5 linked regions of the Coturnix japonica genome follow. The protein of the gene in region 4 purifies or fractionates together with the protein of the main gene of each other region. This does not show direct contact. Links are inferred from orthologs where the notes say so. Each region holds a gene or a part of one and is shown on either strand. Other genes may lie near its edges.

Region 1 (4,189 bases), on a different chromosome or scaffold from region 4:
TGATGCACTCAGCGAGTAGAGCCTGAGCTCCGGCAGGGTGAGTTAGCATATACTTGCACATAATGCTGTAGGAATAACACATTGACGTTATCTAACATCCCAAGTCGATGAATTGCAAAACACTTTGCATCTGTTTAACGATGCTCCCAAACAGGAAATCAGTAAAGTACAGGCTTACATTTAAGTATATTCTTCAATTAAACGTGTTTTCCCCCCTCCAAAATGTTTTCCTCAGCCACTGTCTGTTGGCTGTACTTAGTAGATGCCACTCCCGCGTCCCTCCTTGATGAAATGAAACACTTTCCTCTCCCATACTGTTGTGTAACAGCTGCAGGTGAGTCCTATGATCCTATACCAAGTCACCAAGAATAAAAGATAGAGCTGGGATCCATCTAACCTAATATTGGCAAGATGTAAAGTCACTCTGGTCAAGAGAGACATGTAGGACTTAAGCAAGGCTCAGCTACTGCAGCCACCAGAGATGTTTCCTCATAATCATCTGTCACAGAATCACAGAATGAGCCGGGTTGGAAGGGACCTCAAGGATCATGTAGTTCCAACCCCCCTGCCTGGCAGGGCCACCAAACATACACCTTTACTAGATCAGGTTGCCCAGGGCCCCGTCCAACCTGGTCTTGAACACCTCCAAGGACGGGGCATCCGGGTCTCACTGCTCCCAACCTAAATCACACATCTCCCTCATCCTGCTTCTGTCACAACACTTACTGTGGGCAGGGCCACATCGTTCTGAAACATCTCCTTCTTCCACGTGTTCAGGCACTTTCTGCTCCATAAATAACTCTGCCACCACAGCATGGACAAGAAATAATGATTCCTGAAAGAGCTGTTTAGAGCCCCTTCCTAGAAACAGCCTGAAATTTTTACAGTGGCATGGGACATTAAATCAAACCATTCAGCTGATGGCTGACACAGCCTTGCATGTACTTTCTATAAATAAATACCAGCCAGTATGGTGATAAATTAGTAATAAAGAAGAGTAGATGGAACGTGTTATCGAGCCGCTGTGGGCAGCAGCGCTTAACACAGCACAGACCGCTTTCCTCCTTCAAGACGCGCAGCAAAGAGGCAGAAAAAGCTGTTGTTAACTTTATACTGTTGTCACCCTTAACATCTCACAGCAGAGGGAAGGCCCTTGAGAAGTGAGGCACAGGGTGAAAAGTGGGAACAAACCCCCATCGTTAGGGATAAAACACCGCACCCCAATGGCGGGGCGGGAATTCACCTCAGGGCTCCTAGGCGGCACCGCCCTCACACACCGCGGGCGGAGATGGCGGCGGCACCCCCCGCCCTGCACGCCCTGCCTTCCCTCCCTCACAGACACCTCCACCCGGCTCGCTTGGCCACGAGGAGCGGCGGCACAACCCGGACAAAGGCGGCCATCCCGCCCAGGCGAGGCGGAGCCATGACGAAGCACCTCTTCCAGCCGGGACGGAGCGCTCCGCCCTGTCCCCGCTCAGCGCTGCCGCTTTAACCGCCCGCCGTGGGTGTTGGCCGGGCGCAGTGCGCATGAGTTCGGTGCTTGGAGGAGCCGGTGTTTGGCTTGAGAGCACTTGGAGAACTTGTTGTCCTTCTAGCTCATCTGTTGTCTCTATTAGGAGAGGAGCGGGTTTACTGCCAGCAGCCGGTAAGTCTCCCTCAAATATCCCCCCGGTCGCTCTTTCTGAGGGGACTTTTCCTTCCTTTGCTTCTCTATCTCTCCCAAGAGGAGCCATACCCTCCCCTGGGGGTCTTTCCCACCGCTCTTGAGGCGCTTATCAGCTCTGTGTGGGAGTAATACCAGCATTGCTCTTATTCCTCACGAATGGGTGACTTCTCAAGAAGTAATAGGAGGCTGCTCCGCTCGGGTTTTCGCCCTATTGTTTTCTAAACTTCCTTCCAGTCAGTCGCCGTGACGCACCGTAGTGCTCTCTGTCTGCTCTCCGGTTTCCAACGAAGCGGTGTGTAATGTTAGCAGCGAGCAAAGTGAGAATCGGAGAGGTGCTGCTGGGCGGGATGTGGTTCAGAGCACGGGGAAAGGGAGAAAGAACTTCCAGCAGAGCCCTCTGCTATCGTTGGTGCCATAAAGCTCCTCCAGCTCCAGCCCCTTCCATGGGCTGGGTGCCCCCACCAGCTCAGGCTGCCCAGGGCCCATCTAACCTGGCTTTGAGCACCTTCAAGGATGGGGCACCCACAGCTTCTTTGGGTGCTCTGCCAGTGCCTCACCTCTGAGTAAAGAATTACTAACCTGTATCTCCCCTTTTTTACCTTGAACCATTTGCTCTTGTCTTATCCCTGACAGACAGTGTGAGAAGTTGCTCCCTGCCCTGCTTACAAGCTCCTTTAATTCCTTGATTTTTTTTCTTCCCCGTCACATTCTGTTTAAAAATCCACAGGCAGCAGCGAACTGTTACTGACCAAAAAAAAGAAAGAAAGGAAAAAGTGAAAGACTTTATAAAAGGGTTGGTGCCAGTGCATTATTAAACTTCAGATGTGCTGATATTCATTGTTTAGGAAATCCATTAAGAAACAATTCTGCTCAGATAGAGCAGTGAGGCACAGGCTGCCCAGGGTGGTGGTGAAGTCACTGGCCCTGGAGGTGGCTGCAAAACATGGAGAGGTGGCACTGAGGACGTGGTTAGTGGGCATGGAAAGGTGGGTCAGTGGCTGGTCTAGATGCTCCTAGGGGTCTTTTCTAGCCTTAATGATTCTATATGTAGTGCTATGGGCTTGCTAAGGGTGATGTTAAAGAGCTGCTTCATTTCTTCCTGACTTTCCAGAATGTGTTTTTACCCCTGGAAAAACTGTTGGCTTAAACAGCAGCAGATTTTAGCTCAAAATATTTTTCCCTACCCTCTGTCAGGTGCCTGTTCTGTCTGGAGAAGGTGTGAGACAGCTGGTGCTTCTGAAGGTTGTCAGCCTGGGTAGTTCAGACGAGGTTTAGGATGTGAAAGAAAAACCACAGCCTTCCAAAGGCTCTCCAGATTTTCAGCAATTGAAGATCTTAAGGGCATGTTTCCCAAATAGCTTTTGGTTGGGTATGGCACCCAGAGGAGGCGGCTGGAAATCTGTTGCGTTTCATCCTGCGTGTGAGCAATACCCAAGAGATGATGCAGGCAAATGAATGTGGAGGGTGACTTGTCTTCTTGTTATTATGGCCAGGATTTTAAACTGTTACAATGAAGCACCAGAAATGTAGTGATTGCTTTCTCTCCTCTTTCCTTATATGAAGGGAACAGAAGGGAAAACTTCCTTCTAAACTGAAGCGTTAGTCTTTGAAGCTGTTGCAGTTTCTAGCTTAGGTTAACACAAAGATATTTTCAGGCTTTTCTGCAGGTCCTTGGCTAATGCAGCATTGCAGATGTTCTTCATCGTACAGCTATTACTGTACAGAATAACGATTGTAGGCTTTTTCCCTCTTTTGCAGTGATAATACCTGTATGGGGAGGGGGGGGATGGTGTATAAACAGGAAAGAAAAACACCGATTACTCACAGCTCAAAGAAATTGAATACGTATTTGCAGCACTATCGTTCTCACTATGGGCTTGCTTTGAGTTCTTACAACAGAGAGTGAATGAGTAATACGAAGTTTTGACTGGAAGTACAAATGAAGTCTGAAATGGGGAAGGAACAGGGAGATGCTGTGTTGAATCTCTGCGCTTTGTGAGTAGTAAAACTCTTCCCCTCTTGATCATAGTTGCTTTTCCTTCTTTATATGCATACCTCTGAGAGAAATATTAACCAAGAATGCTGGCAGAAAGACTGGCTCGTTGGATATAGTAGTGAACACTGTAACTCCTTGGTAGTTGACAAGTCACAGACTGACTGACCTTCTAAAATACCGGAGCGTGAAAATAAATGCCAATAAAAGTGGGTCTCAAAGCCAGCCAGACAGGCTCTGTCGAATTCTGTTGCCACATCCTTCCGCTCGTTTAATTAGAAAATAGAAGCAAGTGATTTTATTTTCCAGTGTAACAAACTGCTTAAAGATCTCCCTCTCAATTAGGAATTTACTGATCATTCCTGTACCAATGAATGTATGAGACAAGCATTTACTGCTTTGTTTTTCCAATGCTGTTTTCAGCTCAGTTCACCTTGGGCAGGCAGACCTTTATGTGCTTATGTAGGAATTAAATGATCGTTAAATTAATTTCTTTTTAAAGTAAATATCTGCTTAGTGATTTCAGTGTC
Region 2 (4,187 bases), on a different chromosome or scaffold from region 4:
AGCTGGGAAGTATCGGTAATGGTTGGACTAGATGATCTTCTAGGTCTTTTCCAACCTTGATAATTCTGTGATTCTGTGACAAGGCCATTCCCATGCCATTTTACCTTGTCATTCTTACCACAACAAAAGTAGTAATATTCTGTGAGAGATAACTGGGAACTCAGAAAGATAAGGCTATCAGCCTTACTCCTGGACATAACACTACAGAACAGTCTGGGTTTTCCTGTCATTTTCTCTAGGGGAGGAAATTAAAAAAGATTTCACATTTTCCATATTTGATCCATTCCTATGACGGTTCTAAGAACAGCAAAAAAAAAAATCAAGTAGTTTTGTTTTCTATTTCCCAGTGATGCTACTGATATCATACCTGCTGGTGTACTAAGATACGGGAGTAACAGCATTCAGTATGAGAATACCCTACTATATGTTTACTGCTTACACTGTATAATTTGCATATTAATAATTACTATTAAAAACACTGATCTTAGAATGTTTCATTGCATCGTTTATATAATCAGCATTCTGAGAACTCAGCCTAAAACTGTGCAGAGTTGTCCATGACTTACAATACTGTCACCTGAACAAGCAAGATGATTTCCATTCATAATTCTATATCTTAAATATAAAGACAGAAAGTAAGAGATTCATACTAACTCTTCAACAGGAACATCGGTGTATCACTACAGATACTTTGTATAATCTTTCCACTGCACAGAGGTGTTACTTTTGCATACAAAAACTAGAAGGAAATCGACAACTGAATGTCTATAATACCAAAGAAATACAAGAAGAATCATAGAATCATAGAATTGCCCAGGTTGGAAAAGACCTTGAAGATCATCAAGTCCAACCACAGTCTAACCAGAACCCTAACTCTAAAAACCCTACACTAAATCATATCCCTGAGCACCACATCCAAATGGCTCTTAAACACAACCAGGGATGGCGATTCAACCACCTCCCTGGGGAGCCTATTCCAGTACCTAACTACCCTCTCTGTGAAGAAGTTCTTCCTACTATCCAACCTAAACTTGCCCTGGTGCAATTTGAGGCCATTTCCCCTCGTCCTGTCAAGAAAAGAAATACTAAAGGACTGAATGCAAACTAAAAGTCCCTTTAAAGATCTTTTATTGCTGCTTAAGTACAGCTACTACTTGAATTACAGAGCAACACACAGGTTACTTGCCAGTATCTGCAGTTTTAGAAGAATATTTTAAAAGCAATGTGGTGTAGAACTATCACTCCTACATGACAACGAGCACCAAACTGCACGACCAGCAGATGCAGCACTGCCCAGCAGGGAAGTATTGGAGCACTGCCTCATTGTGAGCTATTCTTCTGAGTTCTTCAAAACTCAGAAAAAAAAATAAATAATAAAGGCAATAATAATATGAAATACTGGAGAATTCAGCGTAAATATTTTTTACTCAAATCCATGGCTTAGAGAATTTAATATTTTGCTTTTATGAACTGTTACCTTAATAGTCTTTCATGTTACAGTTCTGCCATTGTTTCAGAAGAGCAATGTTATTCACTTTGTGAGCTTTACCTTCCCTCTTTTTTTTTTTTTAAATATATTTTTATTTTCTTATTTAAGTAACTCAGTTTCTACAACAGGCAGAAGTTAACCTTCCTCGTGTGCATTAACTGCGCAGTCAGAACACGGTTTCAGGTAAGATTTGTGCCTGCTTGAAAGAGAATAAATAAATAAATAAGCCATCAGCATCTTCAGTCCCACACAAGCCGGTGCCATCCTTCCTTCTGGCGTTACTCCCTTCAGCAATGATCCAACCTCAGAGCCGTACCTCAACGTTTTTAGCACCCTAAACTCGGCATTTCGTTACACGTTGAGGCGCTCAGGGGCTGATCTCGGACCGCCCCGGCTCTCGCACAGCTGCCCCTGACGACCCCGAGCCCCTCCGGACCGGACAGCGCTGCGCTGCCCACCGGGACCCGGCGCTGCGGGTAGGGGAGAAATGCGGGGCGAAGCCCTGCTCTCCCACCACGGAATAGGCGACTAGACAGAGAAAGGACAGCAAAGGCGGGCAGAGGGAGTCAGCCTACATTGGGCCGTACCGTCGCACCGTGCCCACCTCACACACCGCCTCACACAGCCGGCTGCTCGGGAGCAGGGAGCCTGACGGCCCCTCGGCGCAGCCCAGCCTCTCAGGGCCCCTCGCAGCCCGGGGACGGGAGGGAAAGGGGCGCTGCCCCGGCGCCCCTCATCCACACGGGGAGGAACAAGAGAGAAAAGGGGGAAAGGAGACAGCGAGCTGCTGTGAGCGAGGATTCAGATGAGCGCTTCCCCCGCGCCGACCTGCGGGCTCCGGGCGCTGTCAGCACCTCCGCTCTGGGGAAGGCATCGGAGCAGCCCCGCCGCGCTGCCCAGCCTGCACCTCCCCGCCCCGAGTCCCTCAGCCGGGCGGGCAGCGGGAAGGAACAATGGGGCAGCCCCCGAGGAAGGCGGACGGGGAAAGAAGGGACCCCCGCGCTCGCCCCTCTTCTCCCCCGGGGCGGGACAGAGCTCCCCGCCGCAGCCGAGCCCCGTCCCGCCCCGGGGGAGAAGGAGGGCGGAGGGACGGAGCGGGGGAGGCAGGTCTCCGGGCACCGTTCCGTTCCGTCCCATCCCCACCGCAGCCCTCCTCGCCCGGTTGGGTCCGATCCCCCGGCCCGGTTACCGCTGCCGTAGCCGCCGAGTCTTCCTGGGCGCCGGAGCCCGGCTCGCCGCTCGCTCCCTCCGTCGCCATCTTCCCGCTGTAACGGCTCCGGCGCGGAGCTCGGCGCGGAGCCGAGTGGCAGCCGCCGCCGCCCGGCGCTTAACCCCCTCCCCGCCGGCACCGGGCCCACCGGCGGCTCGGAGCTTAACCCCTCCTGCGCCGCGCCAACGCCGCGCTGCCGGCCGAGGCGAACGAGTCCAGGCGTTGGGCCACCGGGCGGTCGGGTTTCCCCTCCTCCCCTCCGCCCCCCGCCATCAGGCGGCCCGCAGCCAGGCGGAGCCGGGGGAGCGGGACCCCGCCGCGGGCCGCCCGCCCGCCATGGTGGCTGAGGGGAGTGCCCCTGGCACGGCGCGGCACGGGCCCCACGCAGGCACCGCTCTGCTCCCTGCCCGCCTCTGAGGTTCGGGAGTGGGAGAACGGAGAGAGAGGATAGAGAAGAAAGAGCTTGTGCGGTGGGAGGCTCGGCTCACCTGCCCAGTCAGACCCAGCCGAAGCCTTGGAAGGAAAGGTGCCTCTCTCTGGGGGTGCTGACAGGGGTGTGTCAGAAGGAGCAACTCTCCTGTCACCTCCTTGTGGAGGACCGGGGAGGACGCTGCTGTCGCTGCTCCTTGTTTACTGACATGTTTACATGCCAAAGTGGCTTCTAGCCTGTAAGGGTATATTTTCATGCAGGCCGACCGCAGGGGGCCAGATTAAAGCCTCCCCATGCAGCCCTAAAGCTCAGCGTGGTCTGAAGTTGCCGTTTGCCATTCCAGACCACGACGTCCTAGCTTAAAACTGGTTTTAAACTCTCCAGAGGAAACCACTACCACACAGGCGGTCTGCCCATCAGAGAACACTTCGGTGCTGCACCGCCTGCCTCAAGGCCTTACCTATTTGGTAAGCTATAGATCAGCCTGAATGCGCTCTCTTCCAGAACCAACATAATCAATGACAAGCAAAATCTGGGACCTGTTTGTTCTGCAGCCACATGTAACTTCCACAAAGAACACAAATAAACACACTGAGCCTTGCTGGTCTCCTCTAACAGGGCTCCCTCACTTCTAGGTTTGTACTAAATTCCCTTGGCACTACAGCCAGGCAAAAATGGACCAATGCCTTCCCTTGATCATAGATAGCAAATGTTCTTCTAAGCATGCTTTACCTAAGGATATGAGTGAGAACATACATGAACTTTCCCCTCTGCACACCCAGAACAGGAACCAATTAGCCATTAGGGGAATAAACAACAGTAATATAAACATAGCCTGAACAGAGCAGAATTCAGCCTTCAGGGGTTCATTACAGAGCACAAAAACTCCAGTCAAACAGATGTATCCTTGATTTTTTTCCTTAAAAATCATCTAGCTCCCCTCCTACTCAAGTTTTACATTTTTTATGACTGTAGTGAGTGCTCATATCCCTTCCACTGCTGAAGCAGAAACTCCGTTGAAGTCAGAGCCCAAGCCTTATTTTTCTCAGTTCCCAGAA
Region 3 (3,500 bases), on a different chromosome or scaffold from region 4:
GTGTACAGGCAAACCGTGCAAGCTACTTCTTGTTCTAGAAGCGCTAATTCATTTTCACCTCTGCAGCTTTTTCACTAATAAAAGTGAGCAGTCTTGTCAGTGTGATGTATTGAGAGCTCCCAGTGAAAATACACAAAACTCCTTGACTAAATAGTACTTAAAGAAAGAAAATAATAGTTCCAGGTGCACAGTCTGCTAACTTTGCCATAGAATTTCTCACCTCTTTCTCCCAATTATCTTTCCCTCAGTACGGTCTGAGTGCTTTCAAATTGCTGTTTCTAGCTTTGGGCAGCCAATCCCCAAAGAAACAGATGAGACTACGGCAGCCTGCCACCCACAGAGAACTGAGCTTCATTTTCTCTCATAAGGTAAAAACAACTGCAAAAGTATTGCTTATGTTTGAGCAACTGGCCTTACATTGCAACAGGGCAGCCTGCGGCTAACAGGAGCCCGTCGGCTTTCTGCTGGCTCTTTCCATTAAAGAGGCTCGTTGCTAAATGCTGAATTTCACAAACCTTAGTAACTAAAAGGACAAATGAACTATGGAGCATGCACAAAGCGTAGTCAGTCGCTATCTTTTAGCCAGATATCAGACTACTTTAAATCTTGCATTTATTGTATAATAGGTGCACTGAAGTTTTGTCCGAGCAATAAATTATATAAATTAAGTGAAATTATGTATTTTATTTGTAAAATGACTTCATATAAAAATAATTCCCAATTCCATAAGTGCACTAACCCATTTCCTACTGAAGTTAGACCTATGGCAATTAATCTGTCACTACGGTATTCAGAGAGTACCGACTGGAGTTTATTTTACACGGTATAAAAGCCACTAAACCAAAGTTCAAGATGCATAAGCCTGCTGGTGCCCTATTCAGTAACAAGTGCTTGACAAGTGACCCCTGATATTCCGTTTGTAAAGTGTGCAATTAAAGCTGGTTGGCTTCCACAGTCTTCAGCTCTTCCTCAGGCTCAAATCACTGCTTGTTACTAACCCTGAAAGGGATGTACTCTCTGATGCATCTTCTTTCTTAAGGTTCAGGAATGATTCTCTGGTTATCTGAAGAATTTCTCTCAAGCCTTTGTTTTCTTGCTATAACCGAGGGATAAAAAAAGGCATTTAATAGAACTCCAGAAAGTCAGATAACTACATGAAGGATCTCTCCTTCCCTTTACTACAAACACACTTACAAAAGACATGCAACAAACTAGCAGTACCAGTGAATGATCCAGTAACTCAAGAAAGAGACAGTAACTCAGTAACTGTGATAAGGTTAACACCCTTGCTAAGGGCTGAGTTCTAGAAATAACTGAAGCACTGGGAACAACAGAACCAAAGGCATTTTACACACAACGAACTGTACCAGAAGGTAAGTGCACAAAGCGGCTTTTGTTTTACGTGCCGGATTACCACAGAGTTACAAACAGAAAGGATCCCTTTACTGAAGAGTTTACTGACTTTAAAAACTGTTGTTAGGGTTGGTAGCAGCATTGGAAATAATTAAACATTGCACCCAGTTCCTCACTCGATAATAACGTGTGACTTGGTTCCACAACGTCTTATAAAAAAGCAGCCAAATTGGTAGCGCACTGGGAAAACCTTTGTCAAAGGAAATGATTTAATACCGAGGGAGACTGGAAAACCAAGCAGGTGACTAAAGCAAAAGTCTAAATCAGCATCTCAGGATTTGTGGCAATTTCAGCAAATCTACTGCAAGAATACAGAACATGATTTGCTCCCGAGTTCTGGAAAGATGGCACCGCAGCAGAGACCAATCTCATGTCAGCTACAGCCCCCTCAGCTCCTTGATACAACATCAAACTAATTCTCCTAAGTAAACTAATTACCTGAAACAGTCCAGCTCCATGAAGATAGCACGCAGCTATCTTAATGCTGGCTTTGAGTACTGGCAGCAGATGCACGGGAAGCTGGCTATTCCTAAACCCTAAAGTACTGAAAGACTGTAAAAGAAAGGTAGAACTGTAGGGTCAGAACAAGATATTTTGTTTAGAGACGTGGAGCACAATTTAAAGCTTGTGTGAACGTATTTGGGTAGCGGTAACCTGCTCCCCCAACTCCCCAAATAAGTGGCAGAGAGTTTCCCTGTTCTGACAGCCAGACTCTGATCTGTGTGTAATCGCAACTTCTTGTCTCACAGTCAGTTCTGAGCATTTCTCACTGGGAGGGTAGAGGAAGACAGATCCCTATTTGTGCCATCACTGGCACAAATCTCAAAAAAAGATCTCATACTTACTTCAAGCTGAATGATACGTTCCTGCTCTTTACAGCCATGCTTGTCATCAATTTCAATGGCTTTCCTCATTACCGCTGCCATTTCTGTAATTTGGTCCACGTGCACTTGTAGTTCCTACACCATATAGATAAAACAGTACTTTTAGTAATAAGCTTTCTTCATTACTAAAAATAAAGTATTACATGTGCATTTAAACTGCCGTGTCATGCAATAAAAATGCAAACACAGACCTAAACAAAGAAGCGCTAACTCTACAGCATGAGCAGCCACTGCAGTTCTGTTCATTTAAATCAATCTGGTTTGCCACACGGTTCACTTTTAGGAGTTTTACAGAAGAAAACATGCCCAAATGACTGTGCCTTTGACAGCTTCCATGTCTCCCAGATGGCTGTTAGACAGCCACGTGTTTGCTCTGGCAAGAACTTCCTGTACTGCAGGAGCTGATGTATGCGTCCTTCTGGATGTGCAGAAAGGCCAACTTCATCTGAGCACAGCAGCATATTGGACCTGTTTGAAAGCTGGTCGCAAGTCTGGTACAGACAGTACTCGCCCGTGAGTGGGCATTTCTCTGTTAGAAAGAGCAGGCAAAGCTGTCATCCTGACTATGACATAAGTTGGAAAACTCTGAGTCCTTTTTGCGGTACCGCTGCTCAAATCCACTTCCCATTTCAGCTTATCTGGGATCTGGTCTCTAGAGGTCCTTGTCCTTGTTGAACTCTAGAAACACCCTCGTGTCCTGCCTGACCTCCACTAATTAATACCAATAGGGTACTTCCCTATTATAAATAATTACTGCATCTCACTGAAATATTCATGGAGGAGAAAAAAACAACAAGTGCAGTAGTTGTCTTTGCTCATCTTGTTCCACTGCCAGGAAAGTGATGATAGGAGACATTAACACAGGCCTAACAGCCTTTGCAGGGAAGTTAGATTTTGAATAATCTCCCCTGTTTGCAAATAAGTGATATCTTACTTGGCCCTTGTTGGCTTGGGTGATGTTTTACTTTCTCACTGGCCAGCATATCAGCAAGAAGCACTTATAGAGCCTCTGCTTATTTCTCTTGAAAAATGTAGATGAAGAGCCTAAGTGATTTGGCATTCACTGCTGTAGAGTTAAGCCAAATACTTTAATGTATTTACAGACGCTTTTAATTTGTCCAGTCTTTCAACCTGTTTCTTATTCCAAATCCACTAACAGACCTGCCTCTCCATGCCTGGCCTGACCTTTGGGCAAAATTCACA
Region 4 (4,052 bases):
AGGTGCTGGCTGATGTGCAGCTCACCCTCATCACCGGCTCCTGTCATTCACCCTGTTTAAGCAGGGGCACCCTGGGGTCTCCTGTTATCAGGGCAGTGAGAAGAGACCAGCTGGGAAGGCAAAGTATCCCTGCAGATCCATCAGCTGTATCCATTCCTGCCTAAGCAGAGCACAGACGTCTGCGAGGGTTTAAGATTCAGCTTCATCAGCTGTTTTCTGCTGCTGCACAGGAACATGGTTTGGAAGAACAAGCGCTCTGTGCTCTCAGCTTGGAAGGAGCCTGGCTTAATTTGAGGATTAGTCACTGGGAGGGAAAAGATGCTGAGCCAACCCAGGAGTCAGCTCCACACGGAGCTTCACAGCTGCAAGAGCCACTCCTGCTTATTCCACTTCAGCAGCAGAATTGGGAGATAAAGGCCCTTTTCTTTGCTGAACACTCAAAAGAGTCTTAAGAGCCATGATATCAGCAGGGAAAGAGAGTCTCGCAACACTGAGCCTTGTAGTTATAGTCTGCAGGCAGGAACAAGAGTGCTGGAGCTCTAGCAGCCTGATGCAGCTTCTATACACCTAAAGGCTCTGGAAGGGGAACCATAGGAGCAAATGGGCTTCTGCAGCACTCAGTGTGTTCTTTTTGGCAGGGACAGGTTCCCTTTAAAGCTGATCCTTGTAGGAGATGCAAGGACAAGGTTTAAGGCCCGGAGCAGCTTATGGCTGCCATCACACAGCGGTGACTTCATGCCTACCAGGTGGAGTGCAGCCCATCAGCCCAATGCCTTGCACCGAAGGGACGAGCACTTCGGTTTGGAGCTCTGTCTCCCACTACTGTGGGCAGCTCATCGCACGGCTGTGCTCAATGCTCCAGCTGCCATTGGGGCCGAGCTGTTACCGTGCATCCCCACGGGGCCGCGCGGGGCTCAGCGCTGCGATCCGCGGTTGCCACCTGGTGGCAGCGACAAAACAACCCAAAGCGGGTCCGTGTTCATAGACCCACCCGGCAGCCCTGACCGCTCCCGGAGGCGGCCATTAGCCGGGCAGGGCCGTTCATTATGGCTTACCCTAAAGGCAGCCGTCACAAGCACCGACCCCCATCACCGACCCCTATCGCCGCTCCCCGACACCCGCCGCACGTGGGAGCTGTAGCCCGCACCTCCCCTTCCCTCGGCCCCTCCTTCCGCCCCGCGCACAGCCCGCCGGGACATGCAGTCCGTAGGGGCGGCCCCATTGTATCTCTGGGCGGGGCTAGAACTACATCTCCCAGCAGGCATCGCGGCGCGGCCTCCCCTCCCGCTTCCTCCCGGCGGCGCGGCCGAGCTCGGTGTCCCGGGGCGGCTGTTGTCGGCATGGCGGCGCACGGCGCTGCGCGGGGGGAACCAGGGCCGTAGGTGGGGGCTGGGGGAAGGGGGGACAACAAGGGGCGGAGCGGGGATGGCGGGGCGAGACGGGACCGGGCAGAGCCGCCGTGTTGTCTCCCGCAGCTGAACGCCGAGGAGCGCGGCCCCACGGATCCAGCATGGCGCACCTGAGGGACTTCGGCAGCCAGGTAAGGGCCGCCCCGTGCACAGCTCCCATCTCCCCGCTGCACATCGATCCCCGCTTTGTTTGCTGCTGGCTGCTGCCCACGGCCTTCATATGGGGCCGCTCTGCTGCACGGCAAACCGCAATGGACACCGGGCTCTGTAGCCTCAGTGCTGCCGGTCGGTGTCACCGTCGTAAGGTCTCCTCCATCCCGTGTGATGCCGTGTGAGGCCTCAGGGGCTGTAGGTACATCCCGCTGTTGTGATGGCACGAGGTGATGTCATGACTCAGGGCTAAAAGCTGGAGCACAGAATGGTATCAGCTCGGATCGGCTTTCTTCTGGGCTTGGCTGTGGGTATGTGTGATGGTTGGCAGGTGTCAGTGCATTGTGCTGATCCCTAGGGAGAAATCTGGGTGCTTTTCTTTATATAGAGTCATAGAGGAGACACTTGATGGCCATCTGCTCTAACACCCTGCACCGAGCAGGGACACATACAGCTCCATCAGGTGCTCAGAGCCCCGTCCATCCTGACCTTGGGTGTTTGCAGACATGGGGCACCACCACCAATCTGGGCAACCTGTGCCAACGCTTCACCACCCCTACTGTAAAAAACTTCATTATCAATATCCAGCTTGAGTCTTTCCTCTTAGTTTGGGACCGCTTTCCCTCATCCTATCACAGCAGGCAGAGTCTGTGTCCTTCCTTCTTACAGCCCTGCTTCAGGTACTGAAAGGCCACTCTCAGGTCCCCCCAGAGCCATAGCATCACAGAATGGCCTGGGTTAAAAAGGACCATAATGATCATCCAGTTTCAACCTCCCTTCCACAGGCAGAGTCACCAACCACCAGACCAGGCTGACCAGAGTATTTTATGCTTCTAGGTGTACTTCAGTGGTTTGAGGTGATGCTTCCTCCAAACCTTTCCTGGTTTAAAATTGATTTGCAGTGCATCTTTGCTTTGCATGCTGCCTTTCACACACACCGTTTCCTCAAAGTACTGGTGGAATTGAATGCAAATTTAGTGCCTGAATGAGTCACGCTGCAGGGAGAGAAACGAAGGAATGAAGAAGGATACTGCCTGCTCAAGGCAGGGAGCTGAGCTCTGTTGGTGCAGTGTCTTGCTCTGAGTAGAGCTTTGTTTTTAGGCAGCATTCAATAATAGAAGCTATCAAAGTTCTGGTTATCTAATCTGTACATTAGGCAGATGTCAGGTGTTTTATCAGAGTTTGTCATACTGTGATAACTCCAGTGCTAAAATAGGAAAGCAGTATGTGTTATCTATCCCTTCCTTGAGTCTCTTCTGGAATCCTCGGTGGCACCTCATAATCTGTTTAATTGAGGCTTCTTGGAAGAGCAGCAGGAATTGGCCTGAAGTTCTGTGTAGCAATTAGATCGGTGCAATGGGAAAGGCATTACATCAAATGTGTGATGATGATGGAAGGGCTGGCACAACAGAGAGGTGCTACAAAGGAAAGAAAGAAGATTGCTCACCTGGATCAGAAGAGTCTCAGTTTGCAGAGGAAAGCTTCACCAAGGAGAGACCTCCAGAAAAAGATCCTTCCCCAGAGGCAGTCAGCCCTTAAATGGGGTCTAAGAGAGATGCAGCCAGGCTGTACCCCTTCTAGTCTCACTGCTGCATTGCCTTCACCTGTGCATCCAGGGCTGGCCAGGTCCTTTGCCCAGGTGCTCAATCAATGGTTCAGGCTGGGACTCGACAGTTTCCATACATTCTGTTAGCCAAGTTTTAAGCAGTGGTGAGGAGGTGCTGTAAAAATAAAGAGACATACGACTTGGATTGGAATGTAAGGGCCTTCACTTGTCTCTGGTTCCTTATCTATTGCCCATGTGCCGGATTACCTTAGGCAGATCCCTAAGCTGCTTTATCTCAGTGCCTCTGCCTAGGCCAGCTAGGTACTCTCTTCTCTTGGTTGACCTTTGCTGTGTACATACAGCACAGTGGGCCTTTGTTGGGTGCTCTACCCTCTCGATGATGTATTTGCACTGCAGTCTTTAAAGCTCTGAATCCAGCTGTGTTCCCAGTTCTGTTGTTCCTGTAGGCAGCCTTGTTCTTGTCATGGTCTGTCTCCTCTACCACCCTTGCCTGAGCTGCTTTGTTCCTCAGAAAGCATGATACAGCTACCTCAAAGTATAGACGCTTCTTCAGGAAGCTGCCTGTGATGACAGAGCCTGCAACACAAACTGCTGGCTGTCCCAAAAGCTGCCTGCAGCAGCCAGTGCTCTTCTGTTTGATGTCCCATTGGAGAGTTACATCCCCAATTCCTTGATGTGCTGCACAGGGCTGAGAAGGAAGCAGTAGCTCATACCTTGTCCTTTCTTTTCTCATAGAAAAATGATCCAGGTAGGAGGACAGGGGGGTTTCCTTGCAGGCTTGCTGCCCAGAGATGGTTCTTTTTCTCTCCTTAGTGGCTGTTGGGATGAGTGGTGTTTCTCCAGCACTGCAGGTGAGGCCTGGGCCACTTTGCTGCCCCATCCTGCTGAAGTGGCCAACAGGTGGGAACTGCATGTAGCCAGGCTGT
Region 5 (4,043 bases), on a different chromosome or scaffold from region 4:
TAAACACTAAGATGCTTGAGAGGCCAAATTTATACATTCTCTTCAGTTTATACAGCGCTGATGTGATAAGCCAAAGGAATTATAAGACACCACTGCCCTGAGATCGCTCATCCGCTGCTTTGTTTAAGCTCTGTTGCTACATAAGAGAAGTCCTGGTGAGAAGCACGAGCAGCATTTAGATACAGGAGTGCTGTGCTACTGGGATCGGGTCGGTCCTGGCGCCACATGAACTCATTCTGCTGTCCTCTGGGAGTGGAACTAATGATTCTGTGTCAAGAGATCTGCTGGGCAGGGAGCGAGCCACGGCCCTGAGTGGGGGCATGGGACACATTAGGACTTCATCTCCTTTTCATTCTGTGTCTTTATTTCAGACACTCAGACAATCCTGACATGGAAGCCTGATAAAGCAGTGCCTCTCCCTTGTCTCCACGTGGCATGAAAGGCCGGAATGATATCTCTGAAGGAAGGGAAGAGTGAGCATTAAATCATGCCCAAAGGGAAGGAGAAGTGTAAGAAACAGAATAGGTTCAGACATACAACCCAAGTGCAGCTTGTGCTGAGGTGTAGTGTGTGCTCCTGCTGCTTCAGTCTGACTTCCCAGCTGATGTGAATTGAATTGCTGGTGCTGCATTGATCTCACTGAGTCCCCCGGGCTGTACGATGGGATTTAAGTGCAACAGGTTGTAAATTTGGTACCACGGAACTTCCTTAACTAGAATAGGGTGAAAGGCACGAACAGCTGAATTGTTGAGTGTGTCCCAAAGGAGATGTAAGCCCGCAGGGTGGCTGCAGGCAGCAGAACTGCTGACACTGCTAAAACACTGCTTAGAAAGTATCAAAGGAAAACGTGACACGACGAGAAGCGAAGCAGCAGAATCACCACGGGTGGCTACGGGCGGTTACAGCGAGCAAATAACAAAGAACGAAGTCAGCACTGCACAGCTTGTTATTTTAACTTGAGGAGAGGATGTTTACTGTCGGAGGGACAAACAGGGATACAGATAAGATGTCAGCCCAGGATTTAAAGGAGTTTGAAATCAAGATAACCAGGACCCCCCGTGGGTCACGGCCACCTGCGCTGTGCAAACAGAGCAGCTCCCATTGCCGGCTCTCAGATCCACGCCGTGTGACAGCGGGGAGCTTTGGATCCACGCGTTTAACACCATCCCCGCACCCAGCGGCCTCCAGCAGGCGGCGGTGCGGGCTCAGCTCCGGGCTCAGCTCACGGCTGCGCAGCTGCGGGGCGAGGAGCCGGCCCGGAAAAGGCAGCGGCTGTTGTGCGGGTGTTGTTGTGCCGAGCGGGTTCGGTCCGTGCGCTGTGCGGGACATGGGGCCGCCGCGGGACTGAGCAGCGCGGCCCGACCTGCGCCCACCATGAGCTGCACCATCGAGAAGATCCTGACGGACGCCAAGACCCTGTTGGAGCGGCTGAAGGAGCACGACACCGCCGCCGAGTCGCTCATCGATCAGTCCGCCGTCCTGCACCAACGCGTGGCCGCTATGCGGGAGGCGGGTGCGGGGCCGGCCGACAAGGGCAGCGCGGCGGCGGCGGCGCCCACGGCCGCGTCCCGGCGGGGTCGGAGCGTAACGGAGGATGGTGCTGACGGCTCCCGGCTGCGGCCGCACACGCTGCTGTGCCAGGAGAACACGCAGATCCGCGACCTGCGGCAGGAGAACCGCGGTGAGTCGGACGGGATGGGGCTGACGGCTCTCGGTGCACCGGGGGGGTCGCGTGGTGCCGTGTAACGCTGCGATCCCTGTCCCGTAGCGCTGTGGATCTCTCTGGAGGAGCACCAGGACGCCTTAGAGCTCATCATGAGCAAATACAGGAAGCAGATGTTGCAGCTGTTGCAAGGGAGAAAAGGTGAAGATGCGGAACCAGTGCTGAAAGTTCATCAGGCCAACTCTGTGGTAAGGTGGGATGGGGATGAGGAACTTGCTCTCTGGTTTGCTTTCATGCAACGTTTGTCTCCTTTCACGGGCCCATTCTGCTCCAGGAGCCTTCTTTCAAGCTCTGGTCCCTTTGGTATTTGATCTTTTCCCTGCATTCTTCTCACAGGTTGTAAATTATCACAGAGCATCCTGAACAGCACGAGCCTTTGGTTGTCCAGGTGAAGGCTTGCTGTGTGCTCTGGGTGATACATTCCTGGGGTTAAGCTTTAATAGCTTTGTTTTCACTTAAGAGGAGCACAGCAGAGGTGGTTATCATTACTGTTGAGTAACTGTAACAAAAGGAAAAGAGCCTCCAAAATCCCTATAAGCTGCCGTGTGTTGAGGTATGTGATGCTGTCTTAAAGCAGGGAGGATTACAAGTGGTTGGGAGGGAAAGATTAAGATTCAAAATGGGAAAGTAGTCCAGAATTAATAACATGAAAGTAATGGATTCATAAGGAATAAATTATTACTGCTTTTGCCTGAATGTATTAACGGTGTTTGTTTTTTTTCCCCATGTCTTTCAGGAAATTGAAGGACAAATAGACAGGATATGTGAGATGGGTGAAGTGATGAGAAAAGCTGTACACGTGGATGATGATCAGTTCTTCAAGGTACAGGAGAAACTAGCTCAGCTGGAGGTAAGAACCCACGACATCGCTAAGGACAGATCAAGCTTTTGGGGACTATAGATGGTTGTGTGTGTCAGGTGTTAATAACAATAAAAAACAGGGATGGTGGGTGAGGTTGGGAGGCAAGGAACATTTTCTGTTTAAGTTCTTTGTATTTCTGTCATCTTAACGATAAAGCCCAAAGTAAAAGGTGTCCTTTAAAGTGATGTGCTTCATCCCTTGTAAACATTAGTTTGAGTTCTAGATTTCTATTCGGCTGTGAAGGAATGGGGCTACTTAATTAACAGTCTGTAATCTTTGTTAATTAACTCATCTCTATCTCAGTTGAAATACTGATTATTATTTTTCTTTTTGCAGCTCGAAAACAAAGAGCTTCGGGAACTATTGTCCATCAGCAAGGAATCCTTTGAGCTCGGGAGGGACGATGTGCGTGACAGCGAAGCTTAGATCACAACACACCCAAACCTTGACTTCAGAGACTGTTCTGAAGCCACCCAACAAAGGACGATCTGTAACTTGTTCTTCAGGTGTTTCACATGTTCCATCTATCCCAATGTGTGCCCTGTGTTACTCTGCAATCACACACTCCTGATGGCAAAGGCTTGTATTGCTGCTCTGTATTATCAACCAAGTGAACCAAGTGCTTTTGGTGCCGGCTCTTTTGTGGCAGTTTATCTCACGAGTGTTACTTCCATAAGCTTTCCTCGGCAATTCCAGCTGTCACTTAGAACTGCCTGATATGGGGAACACAATACAGCTCCTGGATGTTGTATTTGCTAGAAGGAAGAAGAATTGAAGTCTATGTTATAACAAGTTGATACCTTGCTCTGCCTGCACAGTGGAGCTTTGGCTTTGAGGACCCAACCCTCAGTATTTGCTCACATTAATATTATATTATATTATAATAATATATATTATATATAATATTATATATATAATATATATTATATAATATATATATATATATATTATATTGATATTGTGATGCTCTCAGTGGCATTTTCATGCTGTTTTCAATGTAATTCAATGACACCCAATTGTCACTGTTACTTTTTGATGCTGTTTTTACTTAGTTTTGATAGATAAAGCAACTGTGTGTGTTATGAGTCTATTTGGATTATGCAGATAAAGGTGTTTAGTTGATATATGGGACTCCTGTTGAGGAGCATTGTACAGACTTCTTTCCTAGACTATTTTAAGATGGAATAAAGCAATTTACAGCCATTTTTGTGCTGTATTCTGTATTGTATCAATGCTGTCCCGTCGCCCCGTCCCACGTGGATCCCGCGCTATGGCGGTGCCGTTGGCTTTTGCGCATGCGCACCGTGCTGCCGCCGGTGGCCGTGAGGGCGCAGGCGCGGCCCCGCCCCGCGATCTCGCGAGAGGCCGGGATTAGTTCCTACGTGCGGTGCCGTGCTGCTCATGGCGGCGCTGGAGCGGGGGCGCTGAGCTGTTGGGGTGAGTCCGCCCGGCCGGGGG

Evidence for each region.
Region 1: the proteins of STK25 (region 4) and PROSER2 purify together in Homo sapiens (affinity purification with mass spectrometry; 3 studies listed by BioGRID and IntAct, counting the BioPlex papers as one, with this or other methods). This does not show direct contact. The link is inferred for Coturnix japonica from reciprocal best matches to the Homo sapiens genes STK25 and PROSER2.
Region 2: the proteins of STK25 (region 4) and CTTNBP2 purify together in Homo sapiens (affinity purification with mass spectrometry; 3 studies listed by BioGRID and IntAct, with this or other methods). This does not show direct contact. The link is inferred for Coturnix japonica from reciprocal best matches to the Homo sapiens genes STK25 and CTTNBP2.
Region 3: the proteins of STK25 (region 4) and FGFR1OP2 purify together in Homo sapiens (affinity purification with mass spectrometry; 5 studies listed by BioGRID and IntAct, with this or other methods). This does not show direct contact. The link is inferred for Coturnix japonica from reciprocal best matches to the Homo sapiens genes STK25 and FGFR1OP2.
Region 5: the proteins of STK25 (region 4) and SIKE1 purify together in Homo sapiens (affinity purification with mass spectrometry; 4 studies listed by BioGRID and IntAct, with this or other methods). This does not show direct contact. The link is inferred for Coturnix japonica from reciprocal best matches to the Homo sapiens genes STK25 and SIKE1.

Annotation. Positions count from the first base shown.
Region 1 is NC_029516.1:5,522,727-5,526,915, forward strand, and holds the start of PROSER2 (proline and serine-rich protein 2), read left to right. Parts: upstream 1-1,389; 5' UTR 1,390-1,645; intron 1,646-4,189.
Region 2 is NC_029516.1:21,971,501-21,975,687, reverse strand, and holds the start of CTTNBP2 (cortactin-binding protein 2), read right to left. Parts: upstream 2,801-4,187; 5' UTR 2,748-2,800; coding exon 2,679-2,747; intron 1-2,678. UniProt on the Homo sapiens protein: Regulates the dendritic spine distribution of CTTN/cortactin in hippocampal neurons, and thus controls dendritic spinogenesis and dendritic spine maintenance.
Region 3 is NC_029516.1:62,494,051-62,497,550, reverse strand, and holds part of FGFR1OP2 (FGFR1 oncogene partner 2), read right to left. Parts: intron 2,373-3,500; coding exon 2,259-2,372; intron 1,966-2,258; coding exon 1,852-1,965; intron 1,097-1,851; coding exon 959-1,096; 3' UTR 1-958. UniProt on the Homo sapiens protein: May be involved in wound healing pathway.
Region 4 is NC_029524.1:3,907,280-3,911,331, reverse strand, and holds the start of STK25 (serine/threonine-protein kinase 25), read left to right. Parts: upstream 1-1,252; 5' UTR 1,253-1,382; intron 1,383-1,475; 5' UTR 1,476-1,510; coding exon 1,511-1,540; intron 1,541-4,052. UniProt on the Homo sapiens protein: Oxidant stress-activated serine/threonine kinase that may play a role in the response to environmental stress.
Region 5 is NC_029541.1:3,922,568-3,926,610, reverse strand, and holds SIKE1 (suppressor of IKBKE 1), read left to right. Parts: upstream 1-1,243; 5' UTR 1,244-1,374; coding exon 1,375-1,681; intron 1,682-1,768; coding exon 1,769-1,911; intron 1,912-2,459; coding exon 2,460-2,573; intron 2,574-2,921; coding exon 2,922-3,011; 3' UTR 3,012-3,788; downstream 3,789-4,043.